4 linked regions of the Styela clava genome follow. The protein of the gene in region 1 binds, or shares a complex with, the protein of each later gene. Links are inferred from orthologs where the notes say so. Each region holds a gene or a part of one and is shown in the gene's direction. Other genes may lie near its edges. The genes, in order: transcription initiation factor TFIID subunit 7-like, general transcription factor IIH subunit 3-like, uncharacterized protein LOC120346397 and transcription initiation factor IIB-like.

Region 1 (7,139 bases):
GGGATTCACCATAATTTAAAAAAATAAAACAGAGAAGAAAATTTTTTTATTCAAAATATAATACTAATTCGATTCTAAAATCTCAATACGAAAATTCCGTTTGGCATTAGAATTTATTTGGCACAAAAAAAGGTAGCGGCCCATATCAATAACATGGCATGCGACAGATTCTACTTTGGCAAAACAATATATGATATTTCCAACAGAGTGTACCCCCAGCTAGAAAACTCTGCAATAAGTACTTTAAGAAGAAACTGCTTGATAAATAAGTGCGAAAATGAATTACGGCAAATATGGGAAGCACTTCCAATAGAATGGAGAGAGATTTTATCAAGGAATAGGGAATTTGGTCAAACAAGAATATTAATTGATAGGTACAATGGGTCGAAAGACTTGACCACTAATCAAATTTATAGGATTTTACAAAGTAAGAAAAATGATACATTTTTGAAAAACCATGAGGAATACATATTTAATAAATTTCACCTAACTAAGGCAATTAATTGGAATAAAATATGGAAAATAAATATTGGAAACAAGTATAAAGAGTTATGTTGGAAGTTAATTCATAATGGGTTGCCCACTGGAGACAAAATAAAACAATGGTTCATTGATGAACCAGGAATGTGTGTCTTATGTGAAAATAATGTTGAAGAAACTGTGTGTCATTTATTTTTAGAATGTGACTGGTCTAGTGATTTTTGGCAATGGTGTTGCATAGATATTAATCAAAATACTATTATAGCAAACGATTCGGAATGCAAATCAAAATTAATCACAATATTATGCGGAAAATCAACAATTTGGCAATATCGAAATTCAGTAAAATATGATGAAAGAGATAAAATGAAAAGTAGTATGCGTTCAATTTTCAAGTGTAAACTGGTAGGGATTTTAAATTTACTAAAAGCAAGCGAAAGAAATGAATTATTGTTATATGAGCACATGGATGATCTTTTACATAGGTCAATCATGATGTAAGTTTATATGCAACACCATACTCTGAAAATTATTGAAAGTATGTTATCTGTACATCATTTTCATAAGAGGAAGATGTATCGACTATGAAACATAGATGGCGAATGGGAAAAACCCAATATGAAAGCGTGGATTTTTCCATATTCTCTGTCTAATTTTTGTATTCTTGTATTTTTCATGCTAAAAAATTAAAATAAAAACTGATTACCTGTAAATTAAAATTATATTCAACTAACTGCTGAGTGGATTACATGTGGATTAACTCAACTTTTTTGGACATATATTGGATTATATTAAATTAATGACATCATGGTAATGGTATGAATTTTGTCTTTATTTTGATTTTTACTATTCATATGTATTGGGGGGAATGGGATTAAATTAAAAAATGATAAACAAAAACATGGAAACAAAAAAAAATATCTATTTATATATTTATAATAAAATGATTTGATACCAAAATATTAATACGAAAATTCCGTTTGGCATTGGAATTTATTTGGCACAAAAAAAAAAAAAAAAAGATTCTACTAGACAGTTTGTAAATGGTATGAGAGTATACTCCACATAACTGTGTAAGTTTATATGGTGCAAGATCCACTGAAAATCCAATAGTTATTAGATATAAGTTTATTTCAACTCCATAATCAGCAATAGACGATAAGATAATTGATGAAAACAAAATAAATGAAACTGAATATAGAATCGGGAAAGCAAACGAAACCTCAAGTAAGGTTTTACATATTTTAGGTGGGAAGGTATTAATAAAAGAAGTACCGAAGTAGTACGTTAAAGAAGTAGTTAACGTTTCTATAAACTTGAACACTGGTGGAGAGGAATAGGAGTTTCCTAGTTCTGTAGTTGTTACAGTACCGGTACCGTATTGATACTAGCTTAAACAACAATATTGTTTTGGTTCAGTCAGGTATGGAATATCAGAATATTGCAGAAGTGGCATACCATGTGCTTGTAACCTGCTACAATCATGGTATAATGCTCCTGCTGTTAGGTTTTGCATTTGATTTTAAAAGTTTTTCAATAGTTTTAATATTGGCTGATTTGGTGGAATTTTGTTTTTTTTCTACCCATGAAACTCTTATCTGAATTTTTCAATTAAAACTTTAAAAATTTTCTTTCTGCCATTATTTGAAATGTATTTAATTGTAGTAACTGAACATAGGAAACATTTTTTTACTCTAAAACTGTACGGCCGATTCGTTCCAAATGTTTCGCCTCTCGGACTTTCTTCGATCATTTTTTGGCACATGCAGACATGACAATTTGAGTTAATATTCGGGCTTTCATTCACCTTTGAAGATGTTAGAAAATAATAATCCACTTTGTGGAGCCATTGAAAAAGAAAAATATAATAGCCTAATATCAGAATATAGTGTCTTGGGAATTGTTTAAAAACATTATTATCGGTATATAAATACATACAGATTTTTAGGTTCATTAACATATATTTATCATTGTTTCGTTAAAACAACTTATCATTACATTTCATATAATTCAGTAATTTGTGTTTACTTGTTCACAGGACATGATCTTTCAGAATGCAAGTCTTCAAAATAATTTTTTTTATAATAATATCAACAAGTCTAAAATCTATATGCTTGGCTGAGGAGGGAAGTATTGTTCTTTCTGATGGAGTGTTTATATACAAGAGAGAAATTGTGAAAGAAGCATTGGCTTATGGACAATATAATGATGAGATTGCAGAAAAAGGATGGGGCATCCTCGACATCACTGCAACGACGCATAACATGAAATACTCTCCTGATCAAATTATGTATGCCGCTGGAATGTTAGAAGGAGCTCTTACATCAAAGCGTATATATCAAAATTATGAGAATTTGAAAGGTTTTTTGTTTGATAACAGACCTGCTGATATATACAATCGTTCTTGTGATTTTTTTGCCAAGCAAGAAAAATGGTTAAAGGAGAATGTGATTTCTGGGAAAGGTGATATTAGATGGGAAGCCGTTGGGTACATGCAAAGTCAATTGGAGGGACTTCTGGCTGGATATACTCTGACAGCCAATAATAGTATGAGCATGTGCCAAATGCATTTGTTGAACGGAGCAGGAGACATGTTAGATTTATTTAACGTCTTCCATAGACCATCGCTAAATCATTTTAAAAGAATGTCAAAAAAACAACTTCGCCAATATAACCAGAAACATGGTCATTGTTCTGTTCTTATTAAAGTTACTCCAGGATTTGAAAACATGTATATGGGACATAGCACCTGGTTTGTTTACAGCGCAATGCTTCGTATTTATAAGAACTATGATTTTCAAGTTTTCGGTAAGGAACATAAAAATTCAAAAATGTCATTTTCTAGCTATCCTGGTTTTCTCCAGTCATGGGATGATTTCTATATATTGGGAAGTGAAATGGTTATATTACAAACTACAAACAATATATACAATACTAGCTTGTATGATCTTGTAACTCCTAAATCCCTTTTAGCTTGGCATCGTGTTCGTGCAGCAAATCTTCTAGCTAGCAATGGGTATGATTGGGGCGAAATCATCAAATTTCACAATTCTGGCACTTACAATAATCAATACATGGTGGTTGACTTGAAAAAATTCACGCCTGAAATTGGTTTCGAAGATGGTGCGTTGTATGTTGTGGAACAAATACCAGGATTTGTTGAATCTCATGACCAAACAAATATCTTAAGGGAGGGATACTGGGCCTCCTATAACGTACCCTTTTATGAATCTATCTACAATATGAGTGGGTATCCGGCTGTTACCAAAAACGATCCTGATTTGTCACATGACTTAGCTCCGAGAGCAAAAATATTTCGACGTGATCAAGGCACTGTTGTTGATATGGAAAGTATGAAAAAAATTCTCCGTTACAACAACTATAAATTTGATAAATATTCAGAAGGTGATGCTTGCAATGCTATATGTTGTCGCAATGATTCAAATTATATGGGGTGCACTGATTCAAAAGCAACCGATTACTTTTTGGCCAAGTCCTTTACTACTCATGCAATAAATGGGCCGACGGTTGGTGGATTGAGTGATATTCCGCCATATAAATGGCCACAAAATTCTTCCTATCATGAAGGAATGCCTAATGTATGGAATTTTACTTTCATTGATATTAAGCCTAAATATTTTGGGTAATCGATAGTAATAAATTATGATAATACTATGCAATGTTTTTAAATTTGCATTTTAAATCTTTTTATTATATGTTATATAAAATACAGTTCATTTATTATTCAGTGATGAGTTCTATTTGTAATTTTTTATTATTCCTGTCATGATTTTTGAGATAATATTTGGTATTTGAATATCAATATTTTGCAGGAATTCATCTTTTATTTTATACTATAAAATCGAGACAGTTAAGAAATATTGTACAAGTATAATATAATGACAAATTCTCGAATACCTTCAGTCATTTGGTTTTGAGTTTTCAATTTTTTGTGTGTTGTACTCAGTCAAGTTTGACTATTGGAAGATTCTTTCCTACAATTCAGAAGATGATATGTTGCTAAAAGTGTTATAGAATTGTGTTTCCGTTTTACGAATATTGTGTTTTATTGTTCATTAGGTACTCCTGAAGTATGGGCACCAAGATGTCGCACAACCTGAACCCTAACCTGGTACACAACCTGAGTTCAGGGTGTGCGCCATCTTGGTGCGCATACTTCAGGAGGTCTGTTTATTATAATCAAGTAGATTTATATAAGTTGAGGATATATTATATATACAGGGCTGCCTCCTAAAAAACAGAACCTATATTCTGGAGAAAACATAATTTTTGTGCAAAGTTTCTTAGATTACTGAAACTTTCGTTTTCCATCATACACAAAAAGAAGTTCAAGGGTTAAATTAATTTTCTTCATTTTTTTCTGAAATTTTATTGCCAAGCAATATATATACACTATTATGCAATGCTCGACATCATATTACTAGATGCATGTTGATATAATATTTCTTATTGTTATTTCTGGCAGACACTTAGGTATATTATAGCCATGGATAAACCGAGCAATGCTCCATTTGAATTGGAAAATTACTTTTTAATGAGGTTACCTCCGGATGCTGCCACCAAACTCAATGAAGTTATGCTTGCTGGAAATTTGAAAGACAGACTAACATTGAATATGCATGATGATTTACGACATGGTGCAGTGAAATTTGATGGGGAATGTTATTCAGGAAAAGTTTGGGACTTACCTTGCGTCATTGAATGTCAAAAAACTGTAGATATGAAGACTTTTTATAAAACTAATAATCTTAGCCATATGCTTGTTTGTACTCCCGATACAGATTTAAGTGAACATAATTCTAATGTTCAGCAAAATTTAAAATCGAATCATTTGAGAGAGCGGAAATTTCTATGGCCACATGGAATTACTCCACCACTAAAAAATGTTCGGAAACGTCGTTTTCGTAAAACGGCAAAAAAGAAGTATATTGACTCTCCTGATATAGAGAAAGAAGTGAAACGACTTCTAAAAGCTGATATTGAAGCTGTGAATGTGAGATATGAAATAATGACAGAAGAGGAAAAATTGGACGATAAATCGAAAAATTCAGATTCTAATGATGCTAGTCAATCTTTGGAAAATGATGAACTTCATAAATTTTTTCCTGAAGTTAGTTCGGAGAGTGAAAAAGAGGACGATGATGACGTAAACGTGGAAGACGTTGATAAAGACGACAGTTTAGATTTTATCGAAATTCCATCTGGCGTTCCTGTCGTGACCAATGAAGGAGAGAGAGCACGATTGAAGGAGAGATTATCTAAATTAATGACGGAAGTGTCCGAACTCAAAAAACGTAAGGAAAGGAAAGAACAACTAATCAGAGGCCAAATCACAAATGAAATGTTAAAAGTCAAATTTCAAGGTGAATTAGAGGTCGTTCGTTCCAGAATTCAAGATGATATGAAGGATATTGCTATGACAAAAGCCAAGTTGGGCCTAGAACGCTAATTATTAATTAAGGGATGCAACAATTTCACTCTTCTCTTCTTGACATGCTCTCCTCAACATCAGGAAAATATACACGTAAATAATTGGGATACAGTGATGTATGTGGTGCAAATAAAAGGTTTTGCTTATCTTCCCATATTATAGCACTCATTGCTTTTTTATCTTGGACAACATTTTTACCAATCCTTTGTCAAACTTACGTAGAAATGTCATTTCAATCAATGTAAATCCCTTCTTTACAAAATGTGATTTTCAATAAAATTTTAAGAATTCAAAAATTGTTTTTTTGCTTACTAAAAGTCATTTCACTTACTATTATCTGCTTTTTTTTATAGACTGCAAGATCTAATTATTATAGTATGAATCCCGTTTATTTCTATATTTGATAAACATAATCATTCAACATGTTTTCTGGATTATTTGGGAAAAAGAAGAAAAAAAATTTGCCTAATAATGGTCGGACTGAAAATGCTTATGAACAAACTAACAGTAACCACACCGAACAACCTCCAGAACCTAAACAAAAGCTTGTATTCCATACTCAGGTAATATTTGACATTGTTGGTTTTGTGCTATTCAATCCCAAACCATACTTATGGTCTGAAAGTGATTATTACGAAGCCTGTGCTGAAAAAGGCATTTGATACTGACGGTATGAGCTTTTCTGTCTGAATAAAATTACCATTTATTCAGTAATCTGACATACTGTTATTAATTTTGTTAGATATTTACCAAATAGTTGGGTTTTAGAAATAATTTACGATAGATTTATTAAAGAAGTTATCATTTTAAGCCAGGGTTTCTAAACTTTTTGTGCAGCGGTCCCCTGTTTGTCTGACTCTACGGCAAGTCTCGACTTGTAGGTCGTTGCAAAAAACAATAAAATACTACGTAATTGCCTTTTCTGACAGCGAGAGATATTCCTTCCCAACGCTCAACCAAAAAGATGTAATGACTTTTTTGTTGAAATTAATTATTAAAGATCGATCAGACTCTTTTCATATCGTTGCGGACCCCCTGTGCAGTCATCACTGTGTTTTATTTAGCCATTGTAGTTTTACAATACGACAAAAAAATTATATAACCAATCCCTTTTCTTTTCATCGTAACTTTCCTTCATTTCCAAATTGACGCTTATTGAATATACACCGATGTCTATCTTCTATGTGTTCTTTGTTGGACATATTCG
Region 2 (8,553 bases), on another chromosome or scaffold:
TTCCTAAATTCCAGTACTAGACTCAAGTGCATCTATTGGATATTTACCCTGGCTAATCAGTGTGGGTAAAATTTTTGATACTCTGTCTTTTATTGGTGATAATTCCGATTTTCTTCTTTTTTTAAAGTGCCTAAATATGTGCCTAGCATATGTGGTGACCGAGCGCGTGTGACTCCTTTTAATACTACGTTTTAAATATTGTTATTCGGTTCACCCATTGCAATTTGCGTGCTATACATTTAATTTGACAATTTTTAACTAATTAATTATCTTTTTAAAAGCTATTACGTCCATTTCACCTTTTTTTTCGATGTGCCTAGATAAGTGCCTACCGGTAACAATTTATTATTTCTATATTCCAGTACTAGACTCAAGTGCATCTGTTGGATATTTACCCAGGCTAATCAGTGTGGGTGATATTTTTATTTCCCTGTCTTTTAATAGTGATAATTGCCAGTTTCTTTATTTTTCGAAGTGCCTAAATATGTGCCTAGCATATGTGGTGACAGAGCGCGTGCGTCTCCCTTTAGTACTACGTTTTAAAAATCATTACAGTATTGGGTTTAACTGTTGCAATTTTCGCGTTCAACATTTAATTTAAATATTTTGAACTAATTCATTATCTTTCTAGGAGTTACTACGTCCATTTCACCTTTTTTTCGATGTGCCTAAATAAGTGCCTAAAAAAGTGCCTACCGGTAACAATTTATTATTTCTAAACTCCAGTACTGGACTCAAGTGCATCTCTTAGATATTTACTCAGGCTAATCAGTGTGGGTAATATTTTTATTTCTCTTTCTTTTATTAGTGAATATGCCATTTTATTTATTTTTCGAAGTGCCTAGCTTATGTGGTGACCAAGCGCGTGCGACTGCCTTTAATACTGCGTTTTAAATATTGCTATTGAGTTTGCCCGTTGCAATTTGCGTTTTCAACATTTAATTTGACCATATTTAACTAATTAATTATGTTATTACAAGGTATTACGCCCTTTTTACTTTTTTCCAAAGTGCCTAAATGAGTGCCTAAAAAAGTGCCTAATTTGCAAGTGCCTACTTTTAGTCCGTCCCGTACACATGTATGTTTCCGTTTGGATAGCACGTACAATAAAACAATTTTTTACTTTTATTCTACATAATATTATATTACTAAATATACTAAAATTCGATGAATTGTATGACGACCTAATCAACACCTTACAGCCTTAAACACCGGTCTTACTACTTACTGAATACAGCGCGAAACACCGCAAAGAGCGCAAAACAGCGCGAAACAGCGCAAAACAGAGGGAAACAGCGCAAAACAGTGTGGAAACAGCGCGAAAGACCGCAAAACAGAGGGAAACAGCGCGAAAGAGCGCAAAACAGAGGGAAACAGTGTAAAGCAGAAAAAAATTTTGCAATGAGTTCGGGGCACCTTGTTTTGAGTTGGAGTACCACGGCAGCAAATTAAAAACACAAACCAACGTATGTAGCTAGTAATGCTGTAATGGCAGGTCTGCCCCTGCTGGTGACACATTTTGGGTACCATAATTCAGAACATTTTCCATATGGATATGGTTGGCTTTAGGGTTAGGGTTAGGTGAAAAGCGACCTCCAGAAGTATGTGCACCAAGATGGCGCACAACCTAAAAATAGTATGTGTGTGTGTGTGTGTGTGTAGCGGATTCAGGTTGTGCGACATATTGCTGCACATACTTCTGGAGTACCAAAAAGGTAGATAAAATTTCGCATGATGACCTATAATCCGGTACATAACCTTGTAAATATGCCGGAAATAGCGCCATAAAACCATGGCGAGAGGCGCCGTGGTTCTTTCGTGGCAGGAGGTGGTAATGACCAAAGCGTATATATAATACTGGAGGTGGTAATGACTGCGTCTCCTGTTTTGCGCTGTTTCCCTCTGTTTTGCGCTGGTTTCCTTCTGTTTCGCGCTGTTTTCCTCTCTTTTGCGCTGTTTCGCGCTATTTTGCGCTGTTTTGCGCTCTTTGCGGTGTTTCACGCTGTATTCAGTAAGTAGTAAGACCCGTTTTATGGCGCTATTTCCGGCATATTTACAAGGTTATGTACCGGATTATAGGTCATCATGCGAAATTTTATCTACCTTTTTGGTACTCCAGAAGTATGTGCAGCAATATGTCGCACAACCTGAATCCGCTACACACACACACACACACACATACTATTTTTAGGTTGTGCGCCATCTTGGTGCACATACTTCTGGAGGTCGCTTTTCACCTAACCCTAACCCTAAAGCCAACCATATCCATATGGAAAATGTTCTGAATTATGGTACCCAAAATGTGTCACCAGCAGGGGCAGACCTGCCATTACAGCATTACTGGCTACATACGTTGGTTTGTGTTTTTAATTTGCTGCCGTGGTACTCCAACTCAAAACAAGGTGCCCCGAACTCATTGCAAAATTTTTTTCTGCTTTACACTGTTTCCCTCTGTTTTGCGCTCTTTCGCGCTGTTTCCCTCTGTTTTGCGCTGTTTTGCGCTGTTTCGCGCTGTTTTGCGCTCTTTGCGGTGTTTCGCGCTGTATTCAGTAAGTAGTAAGACCGAAAATTTGGTTATGTTTGAGAATAAAGCACCTACCATCACTCTTCATGAAAAGCAGATGAAACAGTGAAATCCGCACAAACTACCGGCAAATATCGGTATAGAAATTTGAGAAATAATTCAATCTTTTGAAAAATGATTGCAATGCGCTAGAATAAATTAAAAATCTATAGGCCAATGTATGGGTGGGAATGTAGAAAACAGTGCTGTCGCAATTGCTATCTTTTATTTCTTTATTGTTTTTAAAAAAACAGAAAGAAACATAGGACTACAGCGATTATTGAGACCAGTAAAAGCTTTCAAACAGACTTTAGAATTCAGAACTTCAAACACAAAATGGCCACATGCAAGACCCAAGCTGCTCCGATTCTCGATGAAAGTGATGATGATTCATTTGAGGAGCTTGATGTGGACAACACAGATGATCAAGTGACTTGTATCTTTACAGGTGAACCCTTTTCATCACCATTAGCATATTACACTGCACTGAAGAACAACCATGGATTTGATATCTGGCAGATCGCTCTTTGTGACTTATCGTTAGACTTTTTCGGTTATGTAAAAGTAATCAACTTTTTGAGAAAAAAATATTTTAAAAAATCCCCACCTTCGAGTGAGGAGTTGAGTGCTCAAAAATCTGAGTGGGTTATTGACGATTACCTCAAACCAGTTATAGAAAATGATCCTCTATTGCGATTTATGCTCGACGATGGATCGGATTTTGACAGTGAAGATGAAACTGATTTTACGTCAAATCTAAATGCGACAATTTCAAATAATCCTGATGGCGATAACAAAATGTCTGAAATTCAAATTCTTCATGAAAAGCTTAAAAAAAGTGAAAAAGAAAGGGAAAACTTATCTATTAAATTGACAGCAGCATCGAATCAAATTTCGCAAATGAAATCTTTCATGCAAGATATTATACTCACAGGAGACGTGGGTATATATCGTCCTGTTGCTGCGTGTCGTCAAGATACTTCTGTTTATGAAGAAGAAGAATATGAAGATGCAGGTTATTTTGGAACATACTCACATCATGATATTCATGCCGAAATGCTTCAAGATACTGTCAGAACAAATTCATATAAAGATGTCATATTTAACAACAAAGAGCGTTTTGTGGATAAAATTGTATTAGATGTTGGCTGCGGAACTGGAATATTATCTATGTTTGCTGCAAAAGCAGGTGCAAAACACGTTTACGGCATTGATATGTCTGAAATCGCGTTTCAGGCAATGGATATTGTCAAAGAAAATAATCTTGATGACAGAATAACGATACTCAAAGGTCGTGTAGAAGAAGTCGATCTTCCTGTTTCGAATGTGGATATTATTATTTCCGAGTGGATGGGTTATTTTTTGTTATATGAATCTATGCTTGATTCTGTGCTTTATGCTAGGGATAAATGGCTTGTTCCGACTGGTGAACTTTTTCCTAACCATTGTTCAATATCTCTCATAGCCATTCACGATGATAAACTTGTGTCTAGCAATGTCACTTTTTGGAAAGACGTATATGGTTTCAAAATGTCTTGTCTTCGAAAACAAGTTTTATCTGAAGCAACAATTCAAGCGTTAAATCCTTCTTCTGTCATGTCCGAACCATGCGTGGTCCATAGAATTAATGTTGGAAATGTTCAATCGAAAAATCTTAATTATAAATCTGATTTTTCTTTGAAAATAATAAAATCTGGATCATTTTCTGCTATTGCTGGCTATTTTGACATCTTCCAAAATCATTCGGATAAAAGCGACCTAATGTTTTCAACGTCACCTTGTTGTACCCCCACTCACTGGAAACAAGCTGTCTTCTTTCTAGATGAAAGTATGAATGTGTCTGAGGGAGATATTATTCATGGAAAAATAGATTGTCATAAAAATGTCAAAGATCCCCGATCTCTTGTTATATCGTTGACTGTCAATGATAAGACACAATTATATAAGATTGAATAATGATTACATACGATGGTTTGATAATGTTATGATACAATTAGAGAATGAAGTCTTTTATGTTGAGTGCGAATGAATTTTAGTAAAAAAAAGGTATGTTGAAAATTTTCACCATACTCATAGATCAGTTTTGACACAATACACATTTTTAACTTCTCAGACCTACATGTTTTTGTGGTACCGGTACCATGTTTGCTTTCAATGGCACAAAAGTTTCATTTCGGTGCGGTCATAGAGTGTATTCTGTATCGCATCGTGGTTTTATATTTTGAGATTCTCCAATTACCTCCAATGATTAGTTGTGAATATTTAATTTGTTGAATGTTTTTTTGTATATGATTTAATTTTAAAATTTAGTTCAAATTCGTAATAGGCCAATGGTTTTAACTACTGCCACAATACACCAACTCAAACAATGACTTTATTGAGCTATTTCAATTAATTTTATTCAATCTGCCTAATGTTTTCAGTTGCATAAACTCAAAATATATTGCATATGGCTGAAGATAGTCAGCTTCTTGTTATAATATTTGATGTGAATCCAGTATGGTGGGGCTTGAAAGCATTACAAGGGAGAGCACAGATAGCAAGATGCTTGGATTGTTTGCTACTTTTTGTGAATTCTTATATGATGTTGCATCATGAAAATAAACTGGCAGTCTTGGCCAGTCACACATCTCAAACGTTAGTGCTTATTCTTTATATCTAATTGTATATTTTAGGAAAAAAAATAGAACATTTTTGATATACAGGTAAACATTAATGGAACATTAAATTGGGTATCAAGTGGATTTGTATATTTGTTTTTTTTTTATTTTCATTCATACAATCTTTTTATTTCAGAAAATATTTATATCCCAAACGAGAGGAATCATCTCAAAAAGTAAGGATATTTATATAAAACCTAAGTGATTCAAGAGTCTTGCTGCACTTATCTCTACTCTTGCTACAGCATCCTTGCAATATATGCATACGGATCCACGGCATAAAAGCATAGAAGAAGGATAAGTAGTTAGTCTCGCAGAAACCAAATAATCAGCGCTATTTATATAAAGTTAACAAATATTTTCTACCACCTATATACCATAAAACTTATTATTATATCAAGCCGCACAAGAATTGGCTATAACCTTGTGCGTTAACTCAGTATAAATGTATAATTAGTAAATGTACACAGACATAACCAAAGTAAGCAACACCAACTGGAATGTCTCCCCCGAGTACAGAGAGCGCATGGCTAATTCCATAATAAAATATTTGTTATTCAAAGCCAAGATAGACTAATGCTGTATTCTATTTGCGTACACCTATATTTTTCTAATAATTTGATCTATTCAAAAATATTGTTTAGAAAGATGGCGAAGATCACCAAAAATTTACGGCCATAAATGACACAATCATTGAAGAGTTCAAATCACTGATGACTACAAAATTAAATGAAAGTAATATTCGAAGTGATTCCTTAATCGCAGGATCTATGACTGTTGCACTCTGCTGTAAGTTTCATACCTAAAATTTCAGATTATTTGAGAGTAACAGTTTTGAGTGTTCAATTCAGTTCTAAATGTTGCAAATATCGATATCAACCTACTTATGTTATGCTTTATGTATGTCTCATGAAACGCTGTAAGCCCTCATTTAAACACAAGTTCATTACTAATAGGAATTGCAAGCAACCATTCATTCAATACCAGCTACATGTCAACTGATGTCAACACTCTATTTCATGCATAAACCTGTAGTTTGGCATAGATTTTCAGGTCAATGCTGGCAGAGAAATAAATTGGTTCGAAGGTTTTGATATGTACGGTAACTCTGTGAAGGGCTGAAATTGAGAAAAAACTGTTATTTGTTTCGCTATTAGTGTGATATACAGTGATCACGACTTTTCTTTGGAGCCATCATTAACTGCAAAAAGGGCAAGAACAAGCACTAAATCACAAAATTTATTCAACATGTGTCATCCCACTAATGTACCGACTCGAACTGATGCTTGTTAAATGGTCAAGATGCATGGTTCTGGAGGCGTCATTTCGGCCCGGGTGTTTAATAAGCTCTGAATTTCCGTTTGAGTACCGCAGCGTTTTTGACTCGGATTTTATGTTCGAGTGTCGAGTCGTTTGACTAGCGAGTTATCACTATATTATCTGATTATATGAATATTAATAAGGTTGACTGACTTTATAGTTTTTTTTCTACCAAAGGAAACGTAACCAGGTAGCATTCTTCACACATATACAGGTTTTCCACTTTTTAACCAACTTTCAATTCTTTTTGTTAACCAGATATCAACAAATTACACAGGGAGTCACGAATGGGAGAGAAAACAAGATCTCGTATACTTGTCATCAAAGCTGCAGATGATGCCGCTGCTCAATATATGAGTTTTATGAATGTAATATTCGCAGGTATTTATGGCTTTTGATATACAGTTGCAGCCACAGGTATAATAACAGACCACAATCTGAATCCCAACTGAAATGTTGTTCACCTTGTTAATTTGTGTGTTAAGGGATATGCAGATTGGCTTTACATAGCATAGCTTTCCTCAAAGTTGCACTAATGAAAAAGCTACGCTCATTGGGAAACAGAAAGTTTTTGAAACAATATTAATCAATATTAATTACAAAATAAACAATGACATATTTTAGGAAATAGAATCAATATCTTCTATGATTTTGTTTAAAAAAAGTCAAAGGGGATTTTCAGAAAAAATATGGTAACACATTGTGATTCTTTAGGTTTATCACAAATTCATACCATACTGAGAAATTAGTTTTTGCCATTATTAGCTGTTTGCAGAATGCTTCAATGCATTCATTAGCCAATACTCGGTGAAACATAGTCTACATATTGAGACTTTAACTGGTATGTTTTTATTATTTCAGCACAAAAGCATCAAATTGTGATCGATTCCTGTGTGTTGGGGCAGGATTCTGGTTTATTACAACAAGCATGTGACATGACAGGGGGGATATATATGAAGATTCCTAATCAAGAGTCACTTTTACAGTATTTATTGGTAATTTAAATTCAATTATTTTTTTTATTATTACTCTATTACTAGTGACAAGTACATATTGTTTAAACTGTGCCATTAGTTGTTTTGTTGTTGGGTCTGGACAGTCGATTTCAGTGTAATCTGCGTTGATGCTTTAAAAGTGTTGCGGTGACTGCAAAAAATTAAATACAAGAGGGAATGCAGGAGACTGTGTTATGGGATTTAAATTTGTGTATTTACTGCCACCTCGACCCACACAGAAATATATTTGGAACATTTGAGAGTGCGATGCTCAAATATATGAATACAAAGGCCAAAGTGAAGCAGTAGTCAACCTTACTTTATACAGTACCTTAACTAGTCTACTTTATGGTTTGGTCAAAATATTTCCGACTTTCGAGTAGCTCGATAAAGGTCTCAGAACCGCTACAAATAATTTTTATTAATTTTGAAGAGCTCATCACATGAAATTTCGAAGTGAAAAACCAATCACGAAGAGCCCACATAAAGTTTGGAAATAAATAAATATAATCTTTAGTCACTGAAAATTTCAAAGCTAGTGGTCCATTAGTTAATGAAACGAAAAAAGAGATTTTTTCATAACAAGAAGAAAAATACCAACAACAACAACATATTAAACATAATAACAAAACGATTCATTTATGTACACTTCGTGTCCAAAAACTGATTCTTTGATAACTTAATATTGCATTTGTTTCAGACTGCTTTTCTTGTCAATCCCGATCTTAGAAAACAAAGTTTAACTCTGACTTCATCAACAGAAAAAAGAAGTGGTGTTGACTACAGAGCTGCTTGTTTTTGTCATCGTAGTCTCGTCGATGTCGGTTTTGTCTGTTCTGTATGTTTGTCAATATTTTGTCAGTTTAGTCCTATCTGCTCTACATGTGAAACTGCTTTTAAACCACCTCCTTCGCTTGGACTGAAAAGTAAAAGGAAGAAACGGGCTGCTCACAATGGCCGCTCTACAACATGATGCCCAAAGAGATACACAGTGTCATAAGAAAACAAAACTTAT
Region 3 (8,591 bases), on another chromosome or scaffold:
TGGAGACACTGGTTCTTCACTTATTGTTTCGACCATGCTGCTCTATTGGGATGTCACAGAGCTGTGGACCTGTGATATCACAGAGTTAGTTTAATTGCTGCCAAGCCAATACAAGTCAAATAACTGCAGAGATGTAGCTGACGCTGCCTTTTTGTATGTTTGTTGGTATAGGAGGGAGTTACAGTAGGCACTAGGCAGTTTATGAAGTTATGCCAGTTCGCTTTAAAGTGCATTGAACATCGTCATAGACTTTTGTTCATTTTAATGTTCATTAACGGAGCATTGATTTTTTGTTGTGATCTTTTAATGTTTTGTTCTAGTGCTCAAGGCCAGGAATAATTGAAAAAAATTGCAAAGGTTCTGTCATGGAATTATTTTTAAAAAGTATGGGAACCACTGAGCTAGTAGAATAAGGAATTTACCAATATGAATTTTCATGAACAAATTTTGTCTTCAATTATATTGGCGAGCTGGAACATCTTTTGTACTTTGTTTTATCTGATAGATTTGTTTTGCGGTTTTAAGATATTCTCAGTTTAAATTTTATGATATATTTTTCATACAAGGCTGGGCCTGAAGACTTAAAGCATGTTGATCCAGAATTTGTTCAAGAACCTGTTCCAGAATCTCTTGGGGAAAATGACGACCATACTGTAAGTTTGTGTGTATTGATGCAATTTTTTTCATTCAATGGATCAGCTTGCCACTTTGTGGCTACAAAAGACTGATATATCAATATTTGCTGTTAATTAAGTCTATCTTGTAACTGATTGTTAGTACATTTTCTGGCCTGTGGCTGTGTCTCACACAACAATGTGATTGATTTATTCCAATATCTGTATGTATATCCTTTCTCCATATTATATTAAAATAACATGCAATGTTTACATTAAATTATAGGTAAATGCAAGTGTTCAAGAAGTTGATGATGCCTTTGTTGGATTCTCATATGCACCACCTTCTATCCTTTCAAACTCATAACCTGGCATTTATGGCAATCTTGAGCTTGGACAATGCTAGTGAAACAATGCAGGATCTGAAGGCTTCTATGACACATTGGGTGGAAAAAATAACAGCATAGTTTGAATTAAACAATTTGCTTCATGATTTTTTGTCAAACTATGAACTGTGGAGTGAGTATGGGGCATTCTGGCCACAGACTTCGTATCGGGAAAACAAAACATGAAGCAGGTTGAAGAGAATTCTTATCGGTTTGATGTCTTCAAAATATCCACTAGATTTAAATTTAACTAATGTGAAATATGCTAAATTTAACCATTTGATCATGGTTTATGCCATTTTTTTTTCGCGAAATTTGAGTTATCAGACATTGGTAAGACAAATTATGATTACCGTATTTGCTCGTTTTGTAGCCCGGGCCCATATTTTTTTCAACCAACTCACTAACCGGGCCTTAATGCAAACCATCCCTTATTCAAGCACGGACGCTTGTTATTTTCGATCGTTACAATAAATAATATATTGTTATTTCCAGTTCTCAAGTATGGTTTAAACGAGAATAACGAAAATTTTGACATTTTCTACGCACCGCAGGTACAAATCCGCAAAAGAAGAAAAGATTTGCGACGCCCCATCAATATTGAAACGATGCTCTTGGGCATCGGGACGCCCAGTTTGAAAACCATGGTGTTACATAATCAATGCTATCTGTTTTGACTTGGACGCCTGAGGCGTGAGTGTTATCTACCGGCGCTCAAAATTCAACAGCGTTGTGACAAAAGCGCTTCTTATTTCCTATTGTTCTCTACCACTGAAAAAGTCAGCTTTTACATCTGGCGGGTATTCAAGCACGGGCCCTTATTTATTTTTATGTTTTGTTCACACGGGCGGCTATTCAAACAGGCCCTTAATCAAGATCGGGCGGTAAAACGAGCATATACGGTATACTGTAACAGTATTGAAATCTCTCAAACAATTTGAACTTTATTAAATAACAAATTAAGTATGTTCATTTGAAGTAAATTTTTGTTCTCCCTTCTTGAATTCCAGATATGTGATTGTAAATTGAACATTGCCTACTACCTCTTAGTAAAAAGAAAAATGATAACTGTATTTCATGGATGTGACATGGTTTAAGGTCTATACTCGCTCATTCAACACTCATTCTGTTGCCTTTTTTCATGCAAATTGAGAGCTTTTATTTTTTCTTCCAAAGCCTGAATTGGTTGTTTTTCATCATTTTGAAATCAGATTCTTACTTTTTTAAAATCTCGCTCACCTTATATTATTGCATAAAATGTTGATATCATTTTGATCAATAGTTTTTGCTACCCATCATGAAGTTAACTAATTTTGAAATTGAATTATGCCCGTTCTTATACACTTTAATATGAAATATTAAAATTCATGCAGTTTTCTATTAGACTTTCCATAACAAGTCCTATGCAATGTTATCTTAACATACTTGTATGCATATTTCCATAACATTTTCACAAAGATTGAAATTTCACTGAATTGTATTGCCAACAGATTTGTTCAAACCAAAATTGTGTTCAAACCAGTGCGTTCTTCCATTTAAACGGCCTTTATCAAAAAATAACGTTAAAATATATATATATTTTATCAGTGTTGCTATTTCATAATATTTTCTGCGTTTTCAGTGGAGCAACAGATTTGTATACATAATCTGCTAGGCTGAAATATGACATTAATTATATGGGGTAAAGTAATCTGTGTAACAATTTATCACATGAACCCAGAAAATTTTGGCTATAGTTTTGGCTTGATGGCAGAACTATAAATTTTTTAAAAAACAAGCCTATTTTACATAACATTTTATGTAAATAGCATTAAAATGTATAGGCAATTGCTTGATTTAACTGATTTTCTGCCTATCTCTGATTTTTTCTTTAATTGAGCCAACATTTCTGGCAGTGCTTTTGAATTCAAATGTTTATGACTGTTTGTCTTTTGATTCTCAATGTTAACTGTTTTTATATATAAGATGAATGTACAGTGATACCTCGGTAGTCGAACAACTCGATACTCTTAATAATTTGGTAGTAGGCTAAAAAATTCTAGTCAAAAATGCTGAGGTACTCGAACGTAAATTCGGTGCTCGAACACCTGAGCATGTGGCCGAGTGAGATGATCAGATGACGTCTCCCAATCCGCGCATCTCGTCCGCGTCTTGACCATTCAAGAGAGATGCCCAAATATATGGATGCGAAGGCCAAAACGTAGTAGGATGTGTATGTAGTCTGTCACGGTAGTCAAACACCAGTCCTGAACGAATTATGTTCGACGGCCGAGGTATCACTGTGTTTTGATTTGAAAAGCTGATATTTTCATATATTAGAGTGCATATACTATTGACATGAGATGTGATTATTTTGTTGTATTCTTGCAACTATAATGTGCTTGTAATGTTTCTTTACATTATGTTCAGCTTACTGTTTTAAAGCTTATGCTGTTATTCAACATAATAGCTCTATAGGTATGAATAAATGCCTGTCAAGATCACTTTTCAGAGCAAACACACCTTATAAAAAGGTGTACAATGTTATAAGTAATAGAATCAGTAGTTTATTTTCCCCCATAATGGAAATGCATGCTGCATATACAGAATGTAAAATTGGAATTGAAAAAAATAATACTGATTATCGTGCAGTGACACTCTTAATGAAGACCAACAATACTTAACACAATGGTAATAGAAAAAAGTTGAACATTGACATTGAAAACAAGTAATTTTGTAATGTCAATTGTAATTTACCAATGAATATTGCCATTATTTACTAATAGGAAATGCTTGTTTATTGCCATTTACTGTTAAACATGCAGTTTTGCATTTCTTGAACACCAGTTGATCATCATTGATAAATTCTAATGCTCATTTTATATGCAAAACCTGATTATATGAAGTAATATAGGTATTTATAATGTGTTCATCCTCTGGCTATATTACTTTTTATACTCCAAATATTTCTTGATTGGAATAATTTTATTCATGTCCAGTTATGTCTGTTTTACCATAAACATGATTTTTGTTGTTGTGATATAATGGTAAATTTGCCTTGAATGTGGACGAATATTGCATTTCGTAATATACCATCTTGCATACTTAATGGTAAACTAGTTAATATTGTTATAAAATGATCATTCTTAATATATTGTGCAATATTGTTGAAATCTTTCAGAAGTGAATTTTTAAACTTTTTGTTTGTATCTCCCTGAGTTGATGGAAAATACCATTTGTTCAAAAATTGACAAAGAGAAACGTTTTAAAATATCCTCCATTGTCTGTTTTTTTGTAACTTTGAGCATAGGATTTAGTTATAAGTTCAATGCTCATCAGTTTTTGCAACCTCCAGAAATATATAGAAAATTGTGGAAACTTTTTATCAGTGTCTCTTTAAAAAATCGATTATGCAATCAAGTATGCATTGTACTGGAATGTTAGGTGATCGATTGGAAACAATCTAAAGTAAAAATGTGTCAAAGATTCAAATCAAAATTGGCTATTATTTTTCAAAGTCTTTAATATTATATTATGGGTCAGGTTGAAATTTTTCACAAACCTTCCAATGAAAAGTTTCTTTGTCAGCATTCATCACAATCAATTTTGATGTTATTGCAGTAATGTTTCCGTCATCAGGATAATTGTCCCAAATACTATTATTGTGAGTGGTGTCAGAATTATTATCGACATATTGATCATTCCATATCATCTTACTTTGTATACAATAATGACTATGCCATTTTCGTTAATAAATAAAATTCATTGAATCCAGCCATTTTATTTGTGCAATTCGTGCCTTGTGTAATATAACTGTTGTCGTTCTGGAAACAAAAAGATTGACTTCATCCTATTTGTCATTTTTTTCAAATGTTTCTGTATGAGAATTATTTTTGAAAATTTTTTTTTGTGTTGTTTTCATTTTTGAAATCATGATTTTTCATTGTATACATTTGAATATTGATTATTGCTATTTAAAATATTTTACTTGTATTTCTATACCCAGGTATATTTCATAAAGTCCGTATTTAAGTAAGGTTTTGTCATGGCGGAGAAATACAGCAGAAGTGTGCTGAGAGTTGTTATAGCTCAGCTTAGTCAAGCTGTTGGATTTGATTCAATTCAATCATCTTCTCTTGACATTCTCACCAATGTGTTGGAACAATATTTACTTGTTTTATCAAAGTCTGTTCATGATTTTAGTGAACAATGTTGTCAGACAAAACCGAACCTATTGGATGTAGAATTTGCATTAAAAAGAATGCATGTTGCTATCCCTGATTTAGTCGAGTACATGCAACAAATGGAGCCGGTTGCTTTCCCACATAAGGTGCCAATGTTCCCTGCACCAAAGGATTCGAATTTACAATTTCCTTCTGGTAATAATCCTGAAGATTTTGACAGAGCGGAACATATTCCTCTTTACATGCCTTCAATGATTGTTGCACCACCAAAACCAATTGTTGAAACTGAAGAAAATGATTTACCTGAAAGCCAAAAAAGTAAGAAAGCAACATTTGTCATTGCTGGCAAAGCACAAGGCTCTTCCTCTGATGAAGATGATTATTCTGCAGGTGAGGCATCGAATGAAGAATACATGTCCGATGATTCCCTATCACATAACCCAGTGAAGTCTCGTCATTTGACAAAACCAGAAGACATTCCAACAATTGAAGGTACTGCACCAAGTAGTATGATGTCTGAATGGGATGAGCTGCGTGGTAGCATGTCACCAACAAGACGAAGTAGTTTTGAAACGGCAAGTGAATTACATGAACGACCTGTAGTAAAAGGGAAAAAGAGTTTCGATGAGCCACATAATTACACACCATCTCATAAAACGACTAAACCTTTTCAAGACTTGCCATGGTTGAGCCCTGATAAACCCACTCCAGAAAAGCGTCATGTGCCATCCACGAGCTCAAGTGTGCGTAAGGATTCTTGGGCGTCCAAAACTACAAAATCTGAAGACCCAAAATGGCTGTCTGGAAAGAAAAAAACTGCTGATGTGTATGATGCTGACTGGTTGCAAGGTGAAACTGCATCTCCTGTCCATTTATCTAAACAACACACACCAGATTTATCACTTGGAAGCTCCACGGTGGAAAAGAAACCATGGCTAAGTAAGGATAAAGATTATTCTTCTACACCTAGTAACAAGGGCACACCTAGCTCAAAAAAGCTCATGACTCCTCAAAGTGGAAAGCAAAGATTGACTTCGACTCCAAGCAGTTCTTCAAGCCACAAACATTTTTCGAAACAAGGTATTGACCGAAAATCATCTCATCACAAACCATATAAATCATTCAAACATTCATCATCTAGCAAGAAAGCTGACCTAGGGGACGAGCCTATAAAAGCTAAGATTGAGGCGGCAGAAAGACTTATCCAGGGTCCTCCTGTACCTGCTTACAAACCTCAAACTCCAAAATCAGTAAAACGTGAGCCTGGTCTGCAATCACCTCCTAAGTCTCCAGTGCGATCTAGCATTGAACGAGCTGAAAAACTACTCAAGCATCCTGTTGAGAATTTAAATTTTCCTCCTTCAAGAGAAACCTCTCCTGTAATCAAACAAGAGAAGCTTTTTCCTGGCAAAAGTCTCGAAGATAAAGATCGCTCCAACTTTGCATCTTATAAATCTATGGATGATGCAATTGATGCTGTTATCAATAGAGCTTCAGAAGAAACTGTAAAGAAAGATGAGCAGGCTAAAAAAGATGCGGAGGAAGCAGATTTGATGAGATTCTCTCATCTTGTAGAGGATTCTAGTTCATCAGATTCTGATGCGGATGTTTCTCATAAAGTGGAACAAATGTTGCAACTGGAAGAAAGAGGACTAAGAGATGCACATCCTCCTACTCCAGGATCATCTCCCATTCCTACTCCGTCATCCGCAGAAACTCCACAATCTCTTGACATAGATGATGAAGATGAAGATGTTATCGTTGATTCTGATTCAGGTGAATCAATACCATTACCGCCAAAAATTTCACCTGTCAGTGAGAAGTCAAAATCCAAACATGAAAAACATAGTAAAAAAGAGAAGCACAAAAAGAAAATGAAACGAACAGATGATGGAAGCAGCAAATCCTCACACAAATCGCATTCAAAATCGAAAAAGGATAAACACATTCATAAACCAGCATCTTTCGTTACCACAGAAACAATATCTGAAAAATCAGTTAAAATGAAAGTTAAACTAAAACATTTGAAACACCCTGAACCTAAACTTTTTGACGTCGATCAAGATTTGTTTAAAGCTGACATGAAACAAACACCAAAACCATTTAAAGAAGAGAAACATAAATTTAAAGAAGGCAAGCATCATAAGACAAAAGAACATAAAAAGCATTCGACACCGAAATTATCGGAAGTTAAACAATCTTCTGGTGAACACGATATGTCAGTGGAAAAAATAATTCTGAAGAAGTCAAAGAGCGGAGATGCAAAAGTAGTCAAACCCAAAGTGAAAGAACACGCAAGGTCACCTTCACCACCATCTCCGGTGATTAGTCGAAATTTACCATTGCCAAAACTTTCTGCTGCAGTTCCCGTCATGAATGTTACAGCAACAATCAAAGAAAAGGAAAAGAAGAAATCTAAGAAAGAGAAAAAGAAGAAGAAAGATAGAGATAAGGACAAAGATATTGATATTGGATGGTCACATGATAAAGAAATAAGAAGGGAAAGCAAAGAAAGAAGTCATCATAGAGAAAAATTTAAAGATCCTGAGAAAGACGTCGCTATATCGTTAAGACGTGATTCTTTTGATTCTGATGCTCCTTCCCCAATGGTACCAAAACTAACATTAAAAATGGGAGCAAGTGAGAAAAAATTTGTTATTAAGCAAGGTGGCAATTCTAGTGTCAAATCTAGTACCAAAAAACGGTCACATTCTTCTATTGGCGACAGCCCAATACCTGCCAAAGAACGAAAGGTGTCTGTAGAAAGTGTAAAAACTGTTTCAGAGAGTTTTGCAGCTGCTGTTGAAAGAAAAGTTATCACTCAAACGATAAGTGCTGGCCCAGCTCCGGCTCCACTCGGTGTATATGAAGACGAAGATGGGAATAAGGTTTGCATTTTTTCTGTACTTTTCCCGCTGTTTAGCATTTGATGCAACTTGCAAGTGGAACTGTTAATACGATTTTACTTCCAAATATAGAATCATTTTAGACTGCTGTGTAGGATTTAGCATGATAATCTTTCCTGATATTAGTATATTATTTTCCTTATAAATCTTGTACTGGTTTTGTTCAGAGTGATAAGTGTGGAAAAGTCGCATAGAAAAAATCACTTTAATCATAAAATTCTATTCATACGGCAGTTGAGTGGTTTCAAAAAATTCGCATTTCTTTAATTTAAAAAAAAATATATAACCTTCCTATTATATAGAATATTTTCTTGTCATTTATCGAATGCCCTAGCTTATGAGTGTATAATAAGCTGAGATTTTTAACCGATTCCACGCAATTGATGCTCCATTTACTCAAAAATACATATCCATGTCAAATTCAGCCAATACCACACCTGATCAAGTGTGTAATTTGTCTGGCATTTTATTTAGCTTGTATGTGATTGCCCATTGCGTATATGTAACTATTTTTTTGTTTTT
Region 4 (8,304 bases), on another chromosome or scaffold:
ATGATTGATTGATTGATTGATTACATCAATGACATTAAACAACATGATAGGCAACTCTGACGTCACTCCATAAGACTACATGCGAAAGATTGTATTTCATGATACGCTCCAATGCACATATTTCTCGTCGCCTTTCACGACCGTTTTCCGCTCGCTTTTGCTACTCGGCGTCTACTTTACGTGTAGTGCCTGCCTTTTTGCGCCTGTAACGAAAGAAAATAATCTCTATATCTAAGAAGTTTTGCTCACTTGGGAAGCTGGAATGGCAGACAAGCTGTAAAGAGTAATTCTGGACATCATAGACGTTTTTTTTATCAGAGAAGATTACAAACGCGATAGCGTAAAGATTTGTGTGGAACATTTTGCAGATAATGACAAAGTTAGTAATTTTAATGTTTGCGCTTAAAACATTGAAATTTCATTTAAAGAGAGTGTCATGCAAAACTGTTTTTACTTCTCTTAACGGTGCTGTGATACAATTCCATAACACAAAGTTTGCACCTATCGAACATGCTTCAGTAGGTTAATTTATTAGACATATATATTACATATTTAGTTAACCGTAGGTAACATTGCTGGTACATAATGCCTCGTAGATAGGTTTGTGTCTAAATTTAGGAATTTAGTTCATAGCCCACTAATTAATATTATCTTACCGATCATCTGACGATGCTCATTTAGTTTGGCTCGAGCAAGTTTTCATGAAAGACTTGTATGAATGGAAACTGCCTATATGTTTTGCTTTCCTCCGATTTTAGAAGACAAATTTATTCTGAGGGATTTGGCATATAATTCTCATTGATTGTTGGCTGTTTATGATTCCTATTAATTGTGAATTCTGATTATAACAAAGAGTTAAAAATCATTTTACGTAATTTACGGGCACCTTTTTCTTGTCAATACTCCAAGCTGAGGTAATAAACAAGACAATACTGTACATTTATGTCATCTGGAAGCAAAATATGCACACTAATTAAAAGTTTGACACATTGAGATAATACATCATGACAGAAAATACAAGTTAAAGATATGTATGACCATCACATGGTAATTAAAATTAAAAAAAAATTAATAGGGGCTGTGGAGTATATAAAGTTCAAGACAAAGAAAAGAACATAAGTTCATAGCTCATGAACTCTCAATTTTGCCTCCATTGCTTTGTGAAGGCCAATATATTCCGAGTGGCTGAATTGGTTTACCTTTATGATAGCAACGATTTTGTATTCAATATAGCGAGATTTTTTTCAATTTAATTGCAGTGATATTATTTCCCAAAGCAATGCTTGAATCGTCTAGAATAGATCAGTGGTGTCAAACTCAAGGGTTTTTGAGAGCCGCATTGCATTTTGGAAATTGTAAAAAGGGCCAAAAACACTTTTTGATAATGTATACTTGAAAGATATTTTTCAGATAGTTTTAGTTTGTGACATATATTGTGATGCAACTAAACAGTTGGATTAAGTTTTATTATTTTCTTTAATTTCAAATGCAATTACATATTAATATTTGCATTCCACTATTATTGCAAGTTACTGTATTTATTACAAAAAATCATAAAATTCTATATACAACCATCAAAATCATTTTTGAACAAGCTTTAGATAAGGAAAGAATAATACATACACTAAAAATGACTTAATCTAAATACATGGACTTGAAATTAACAAAAATACTACAGTATAAACTCAATGTTTTTTTAATTACATTTGTCCTGACGTTTGGCATCTTTTTTGTGTCACCAGCATACTAAGGCAAGGCTGAAATGATTTTATAGTACCAACTCTAACTAACGAGGACACGTGATCATGGGTTTTTCTAGATCTTTGCGAATGTTTAATTAATTCCAGTAATGCAAAAAAGTTTCTTTTATCATTTCATGAATAGATCAGTAAAAAAACAAATGACAGATACGACACGACATTTCGCGCCACATTGCATAGGATTGCTTGAATTAATATTGATATTAATTTTTAGTCACTAATTCGTTGTATATTTATATTAATATACAAACACATGGTAATTTTCTGTTCGAAGTTGGTCTTCGAAATTGTCATATTGACTGCCGAGCTTATTGTGTTTTTTTATTGTACTGATGAAAATATGACAAATTGAACAATGTGCTTCAAAATTTTGTGAAATGCAGAAATATTGCAACTTCCATTTTCTTCGAAAATGCCACCTTCTTCATGTACTTTGCGTTCAATTTATTCACTCAAGTGTTTTATTCAAGTATTCTTTTGCTAGCTTGATGTGTATTCTTAATTGGGTCAAAATGTGAACAAAAAAATTAACTTTCCAAAACTACTTTCAGTAAATTGCTTTCTGTGTGAATATTCAATTTCACTTTAAAAGGGTTGAAAAATCTATTACACTTAGATAAAAAAAACTCCAAAATACAATTACAATTATTGTTAAGCGTTCGAGGGCCGCACTGGAAGTTCTCCGGGGCCGCGAGTTTGATATCCCTGGTCTAGATTGAAGTTGTCCTAAATATAAAACAGTATTTTATCATGAATCATGATTATACCATTTCCTGAATTTCTTCTTTAGTAGGCCTACTACCAAAAGTTGATGAATCAAATATAACACAGGTGTAGTGAGTGACCCATAATCCTCATTTTCCAAAGCTGTTTTAAGTATGTCTGGCATGTTTTGTGCATTTTTACGAATAAGACCGCTTATGCAATCTTACGCTTTGGAATTTTTAGTTATTTTCCTTAAGCCCTGCAGGATGTAGGGGCCATACACAACTCTACCGGAGGGTCAAATGTCTTTGCATGTCTCCATAGGTTGTTCTTCTATTGCAAACATTTATGGAGTATTCTGATTGTATTTCTTGGAATCACACTGTCACTGATATGTCGACAGACTTCTGATATCTCCCCTTCTGCTACAGTTGTCATGTGAATAAATAATAGAAAATTGAGGTTGGACGAATAGTTGAAAGTTTTGCTTTATGTCGGCTTAATTTCTTGATTGATATACTTTCTATTTTTGCTATTGCCTCTTGTGCTGCAGGAGTCCCACAATGCTTAGACAGGTTTTCCCACAACTTTTACATCTAAAGAAAGAGAGGAGATTTAATAATTTTCGTTAAGAATAAATAAAGCAGTCTATATGATTTAGATTGGAAAAGCTAATAAATCCAATATCTCATGTTTTATGTAAAAAATGTTTTACTGAATTTGGTATATAAACCAACTAATAAAGGGGTTTACAGAAAATTACTATACAATATAGACCGGTATGAGTGAAATGTTAGGTGAACTTGTTAACCCTTTGATTCAATACGCAAATAAAAGTGAATGAGCAATAGTATGTTACAGCAATGAGTATATATCCTCACTGATTAAAAATAATCTAATTGGAGGTGCATGAACTATTTGAAACCGTAAGGGGTAAGTAAATATGCAATTCCGGCAAATGGGCAACTACGTACCGTACTGATTTAATAACTTCGTAGTATTTGGCAAAAGTCGGCTTTCCCACATGTACTTAACAGTGCAATGCCCGGGTGTGATATACAACAATAGTATTTACCTTACTTTTTTCCGATTTCTTTTTACCTTCAATTTTCCAATATATCATTAAAATCGACAACAACTGTCAAAGCAGGAACGAACACCATTAGTGCTATGCCTTGAAAGCAGCACACATCCGCTCGTTTTCGTCTCGTCAAGTATGTGCATTGGAGCGTGCTATCGGATACGATCTTCGGCCAAAAATGCCTGGGTTGCGCATCATGTTGTTTAATGTCATTGATTACATTATCAGGGGAGCGGAAGCCGATAATAAAGTTAAATCATATGGCAAACCACGACCTCTCGTCCGGTTATCATTTCATGCCGGATTGACATGCAAGAATGTTAATATTTCGACGTTTTGGCTTCAGACGGTTACGTAACGGCGACTTTACAACGCCAGTCGTGCTAAAAATACGCTCTGAATTAACTGACGTAGGTGGGCATGAAAGCAAGCTTACGGCCAAAGCGAACATCGCTTGGCATTCGTTTCTGTTTTGTGAGCATGTGGCCAAAAAACAAGTTCAATCAATCAATCAATCAATCAATCAATCAATCAATCAATTTTATTTGGTCACTCTGATACAAACAAAAAGCAAAACAACAACAAAGGGCAAACAAAATACAGAGGACTTGGAGGACGGGCATAACTCAATAATAAAGTTAAATACGTACAAGTACGTGCCCGTCCCCCCAAAACACAATAAACCAAAAACACGATGTGACCTCGGGCAATATCTTATAAATTCAAATTAAAATGTGAGACGTGTATGTGCTTTTCCTACAGATATATGGATTAAAGAACACTCGCTGCCGAAAAATGATGATGCAGTAGGCCTAGTTCAATTACGTTGCAAAAGTGACACAGTGACAAATTTTTATTTTATTTTTTTACTGAAAAACAAGCTCGGTAAATGGACTGAATGTTCCATAGCAGTCTACGCACAAATCATGGATTGGGGTGTTGGGTTCTTTTGTCGTTTTCGGTTAGTTCAGTTTAAAATCATCGTATCCGTTCCAATGCAAGTTAGGATAGGATAGGATTTTACATATTTATCCAGGGGGAGAGGAAAGCCGATAAGACGGCTTATCCATATGGCGAACCACGGCCTCTCGTCCGGTTACCATTCCAAGTCGGGTATGGGATTAGTTATATTGTTTTTCGGAAGCATGGACTTGGCAAGAACGCAGTACGGCGTACGCTACTGATCGCGTATTGTTGCATCACAATCGAAAACGTGTTTTTTGCCGTTTTCACTTTGACGTCACAGACTCGGACGATTCGATTCGAGTCCATGATCTATTACTTTACTCGGATTCGCCGAATACCGGACTCGTCCTAACAGGTTTGTGAGGTCAAAGGTCGAAAAACATTGCATCAACCCTCAACCGACGATTGAAAAATTCAGCCTATCTGTGAATTAGCTTATCAGTAAATCAGGCCTATGGCGCGTGTCTGAACATCTCATTGGTCTGAAAACTCCCGAGGTAGCAATTCTGCCTTCATTCGAAGCTCTGTTCTGCTGTTACAGTGTTGAAACTAGTCTTGTATTTGAGACCGACAGACAGGGTTTTCAACTGTAGACAAAGAATCTGATCTGACAATGTCAGGTTCTAGGTGAGTAGAGAGAGAGATTTATTTCGTCAACCAGAAAAACTACAGTCATAATAAGCTATAAATTAAAAACATATAAATTAATGTATATTTACTGATAAACATGGGAAACTTTATCTGAAATCAACAATGGAATAATATGAATTGCTGGATAATACTGAATGATGTTTACGAATATATTTGTTTATTATATGTAACTATGTTCTATGATTATTATTTTTTCATCATTTATTTATTTTTACAAAACTGTTATGAATCCACAACGTGGACCTTAAAAAAAAACATAATAATAAATAAATAATGGCTATAAAAAATACACTTTTTTCGGAAGGAGCGATACGACCATGCGGTCATCGAAGTCAGCCCCCTCTAAGTTTACGATGATAAGTTCACAGTAAAATATGACTATTAGAAATGGTTAAAGTTCACGAAACAAAATTTGGAAAAACAAACAAACAAAAAAATGAAGTAGGCCTAAATAAAAGTAAATAATTTTTTTCTGTGAAATCAATTTTTAAATGATGAGATTTGTGAAATGAAACAGTTTGGGCAAATAATCAACGATTACACTATTATTTGAAAGTGAGGAGTAAGCCCCACAAATAAAAAAACAATTTTGGCTATTGGACTACTATACTCAAATGTAAATTTGGACACATAACAATTGTTCGAATCAGCAAAGAGTCAGCCTTACATGTACGAATAAATTTCAGGAGATAAACAACATGGTACTCATGTAAAAACAATTGTTTAAAGCGAGGAATCAGCCTTATTGGAAATATGAGATCTATCATCAGTCTGTTAGTATTGCGGTACTGCAGTTCAAATTGTATTTTTATGTTTTTATCATCTTTTTAATAAATTAAAGAATTTAGAAAACCTGCAGACCTGTGTTAGCAGCATTGTGAATTGGGGTAGGCCAAAACCCTTGATCATTTCACAATTACAGATTAAAAACAGTGTTTTGATTTGTTCTCAAAAATATAATAAAGGAATTTTGATCAATTTCTGAGATTTCAATTGCTTGAAATGATAATTTATGCAATGTAACTATCACTGTACTGAATTATGTGGAACACACAATAAGAAACTATTGCCATGTCTTCATGTTGTCATAATTTTTTGGCTTCTGCTGTAATAAATATGTTCAATATCAAGAGTCATTTCAACACTGTTTTCAAATATTTCAGCAAAAATCATCATCGTCAAGTCTGTTGCCCTCAGCATCCAGATGCTCCTTTGATTGAAGATTACAGGGCAGGGGATATGGTGTGTCCTGAATGTGGCTTAGTAGTTGGTGACAGAGTGGTGGATGTAGGGTCGGAGTGGCGTACTTTCAGCAATGATAAAGACTCTAAGGTACTCTGAGTTCATGTATTTTATACTTGTATTCTCTTATGTCTGTATGTATAAAATGGCTGATCATATGAAAAATTTTTGTTGTGAAAAATCACCAATTTTTTCTATAAATAGATGTTGAATGCGAAATGATTCGATAGCTATTTTCAGATGTCATGACAGTGTTTTCATCAACGAAATATGGAAAACACTTGAAATACAAAGTTACTATTTTTTGAAGCTGGGAAATTGTTTTTGTTTTGAATTATACGATTCCTTGCTTTATCTCTCAATCAAAGTTCAGCGGCTTACCAATGGCACCCGGCAGATAAAAATGAAACGTAACAGAATGCTAAACTTGCTTAATTAGTTTTCAACCAATCTATTTGATCATATTCTATATGATTGTATAATTTGATTACAGGATATGTCTCGTGTTGGAGATGCAGAAAACTCACTACTTTCTGGAAGTGACTTGTCAACAATAATTGAGCGACCTTCTGGTCCTGGTGGAGATGATTCAGGTTATTCAGTGTGATTAAATTTCATTCACCCCTGTGGGGTATAGGAATATCAATCGTTCTTATGTACAACCTATATGAGAGGTCAGGAACCCATGGCTCGGGGGCCATATATGGCTCTTTTGGTAACGACATATGGCTCCCAGAAAAATCTAAGGCTAAGCTTACTATTGTTACAAGATTTCAAACACTTTTATAGCCAAATTTGCCAATATGTTTGAGAACGCCCAGCACATGTCTATGTTATATAGGAGAATTACCAGACAGACATTGTGACAAAACTAGGGGATTCCGGAACATCTTTCGTGACATCACAAAGCGATAGAATCGCGGAGCAATAGAATAAAGCTTAGTCTGTTTTTACGTACTAGTCACAGTATTTGTCATATTTAAATTAGATTAACAAAGCTAGTTTTTGAAATACTACGGAGATTCCTAAACGAAAGAAGGGTGATGAGTGTTATAGATTTCAACTTGTGCTGCATGTCAGCAATCCTGCAACGACAACAGGTAGCATCAGAAGTCACATTAAATGTATATTGACATTGTATGTTGACTTTTGAGCAAAAATTTCAGGCCTGATTAAGGAAGAAATGCTCTATGGCTCGCACAGAAATGCAGTTAAAATATGTACCTTTCATGGCACTCTTGACCAAAAAGGTTCTCGACCCCTGACCAATATATTAATTTTTGAATGAAGTGTTTGATTTTAATTATTTCACTTGATTCAGTAAGGTTCAAATACATGTACAACCATTTTTCAGGTTTTGCCAAGTTTTCCAACCGAAAATCAATGAATAGTGCAGACAGAGTATTAATCGGTGCTTTTAGAGAAATAGCAACAATGGCTGACAGAATAAATCTTCCTAAAAACATTGTGGTAAGAAAATTGATAAAAGTTTGTTTATGGCTTAGGTTGTCTGATTGTTGACTACTTAACAACCAAAGAAAGTTTCGAAACTGTGATCCATCAAAAGTCCTTGGCTTCATTAGTTTACTCATCCTTCTGGCTCTTGTGCAAATAGGAAACTTTGCCATTGGCAAACCTTAGGTTCAAATCATTTTTATAATAAAAATTTTGGCTCTCATGATGGCTGTCACTCCTATTTCTGAGGAGTACGATAGATCCATTTTTGATATTATTAAAAAGCACTCTAAGACGATAACCTCACAGCATTATTATTTACTAGTAAATTTTAATGTTAATTTCATATCTGGATTCTCAGGATCGTTCAAATAAACTTTTTAAGCAAGTTTATGAATCAAAAAGCTTAAAAGGTCGAGCGAACGATGCCATTTCAGCTGCATG

What was found.
Region 2: transcription initiation factor TFIID subunit 7-like (region 1) and general transcription factor IIH subunit 3-like share a complex: the UniProt entries of both Homo sapiens proteins name them as parts of the TFIID-containing RNA polymerase II pre-initiation complex. The link is inferred for Styela clava from reciprocal best matches to the Homo sapiens genes TAF7 and GTF2H3.
Region 3: transcription initiation factor TFIID subunit 7-like (region 1) and uncharacterized protein LOC120346397 share a complex: the UniProt entries of both Homo sapiens proteins name them as parts of the TFIID basal transcription factor complex. The link is inferred for Styela clava from reciprocal best matches to the Homo sapiens genes TAF7 and TAF3.
Region 4: transcription initiation factor TFIID subunit 7-like (region 1) and transcription initiation factor IIB-like share a complex: the UniProt entries of both Homo sapiens proteins name them as parts of the TFIID-containing RNA polymerase II pre-initiation complex. The link is inferred for Styela clava from reciprocal best matches to the Homo sapiens genes TAF7 and GTF2B.

The regions. Positions count from the first base shown.
Region 1 is NC_135259.1:4,890,720-4,897,858, reverse strand, and holds transcription initiation factor TFIID subunit 7-like, read left to right. Parts: upstream 1-4,987; coding exon 4,988-5,950; 3' UTR 5,951-6,286; downstream 6,287-7,139. Other genes in the region: PDZ domain-containing protein GIPC2-like, read left to right, coding at 6,355-6,495. UniProt on the Homo sapiens protein: The TFIID basal transcription factor complex plays a major role in the initiation of RNA polymerase II (Pol II)-dependent transcription.
Region 2 is NC_135253.1:5,670,979-5,679,531, forward strand, and holds the start of general transcription factor IIH subunit 3-like, read left to right. Parts: upstream 1-5,010; 5' UTR 5,011-5,012; coding exon 5,013-5,200; intron 5,201-5,359; coding exon 5,360-5,399; intron 5,400-5,867; coding exon 5,868-6,012; intron 6,013-6,801; coding exon 6,802-6,924; intron 6,925-7,404; coding exon 7,405-7,538; intron 7,539-8,238; coding exon 8,239-8,511; 3' UTR 8,512-8,553. Other genes in the region: uncharacterized protein LOC120325703, read left to right, coding at 2,900-4,519. UniProt on the Homo sapiens protein: Component of the general transcription and DNA repair factor IIH (TFIIH) core complex, which is involved in general and transcription-coupled nucleotide excision repair (NER) of damaged DNA and, when complexed to CAK, in RNA transcription by RNA polymerase II.
Region 3 is NC_135257.1:9,008,355-9,016,945, forward strand, and holds the start of uncharacterized protein LOC120346397, read left to right. Parts: upstream 1-5,021; 5' UTR 5,022-5,024; coding exon 5,025-8,051; intron 8,052-8,591. Other genes in the region: serine/threonine-protein kinase Sgk3-like, read left to right, coding at 567-653, 901-981. UniProt on the Homo sapiens protein: The TFIID basal transcription factor complex plays a major role in the initiation of RNA polymerase II (Pol II)-dependent transcription.
Region 4 is NC_135254.1:20,967,029-20,975,332, forward strand, and holds the start of transcription initiation factor IIB-like, read left to right. Parts: upstream 1-4,859; 5' UTR 4,860-5,125; coding exon 5,126-5,139; intron 5,140-6,326; coding exon 6,327-6,495; intron 6,496-6,896; exon of another isoform or gene 6,897-6,898; coding exon 6,899-6,998; intron 6,999-7,759; coding exon 7,760-7,875; intron 7,876-8,221; coding exon 8,222-8,304. UniProt on the Homo sapiens protein: General transcription factor that plays a role in transcription initiation by RNA polymerase II (Pol II). Involved in the pre-initiation complex (PIC) formation and Pol II recruitment at promoter DNA.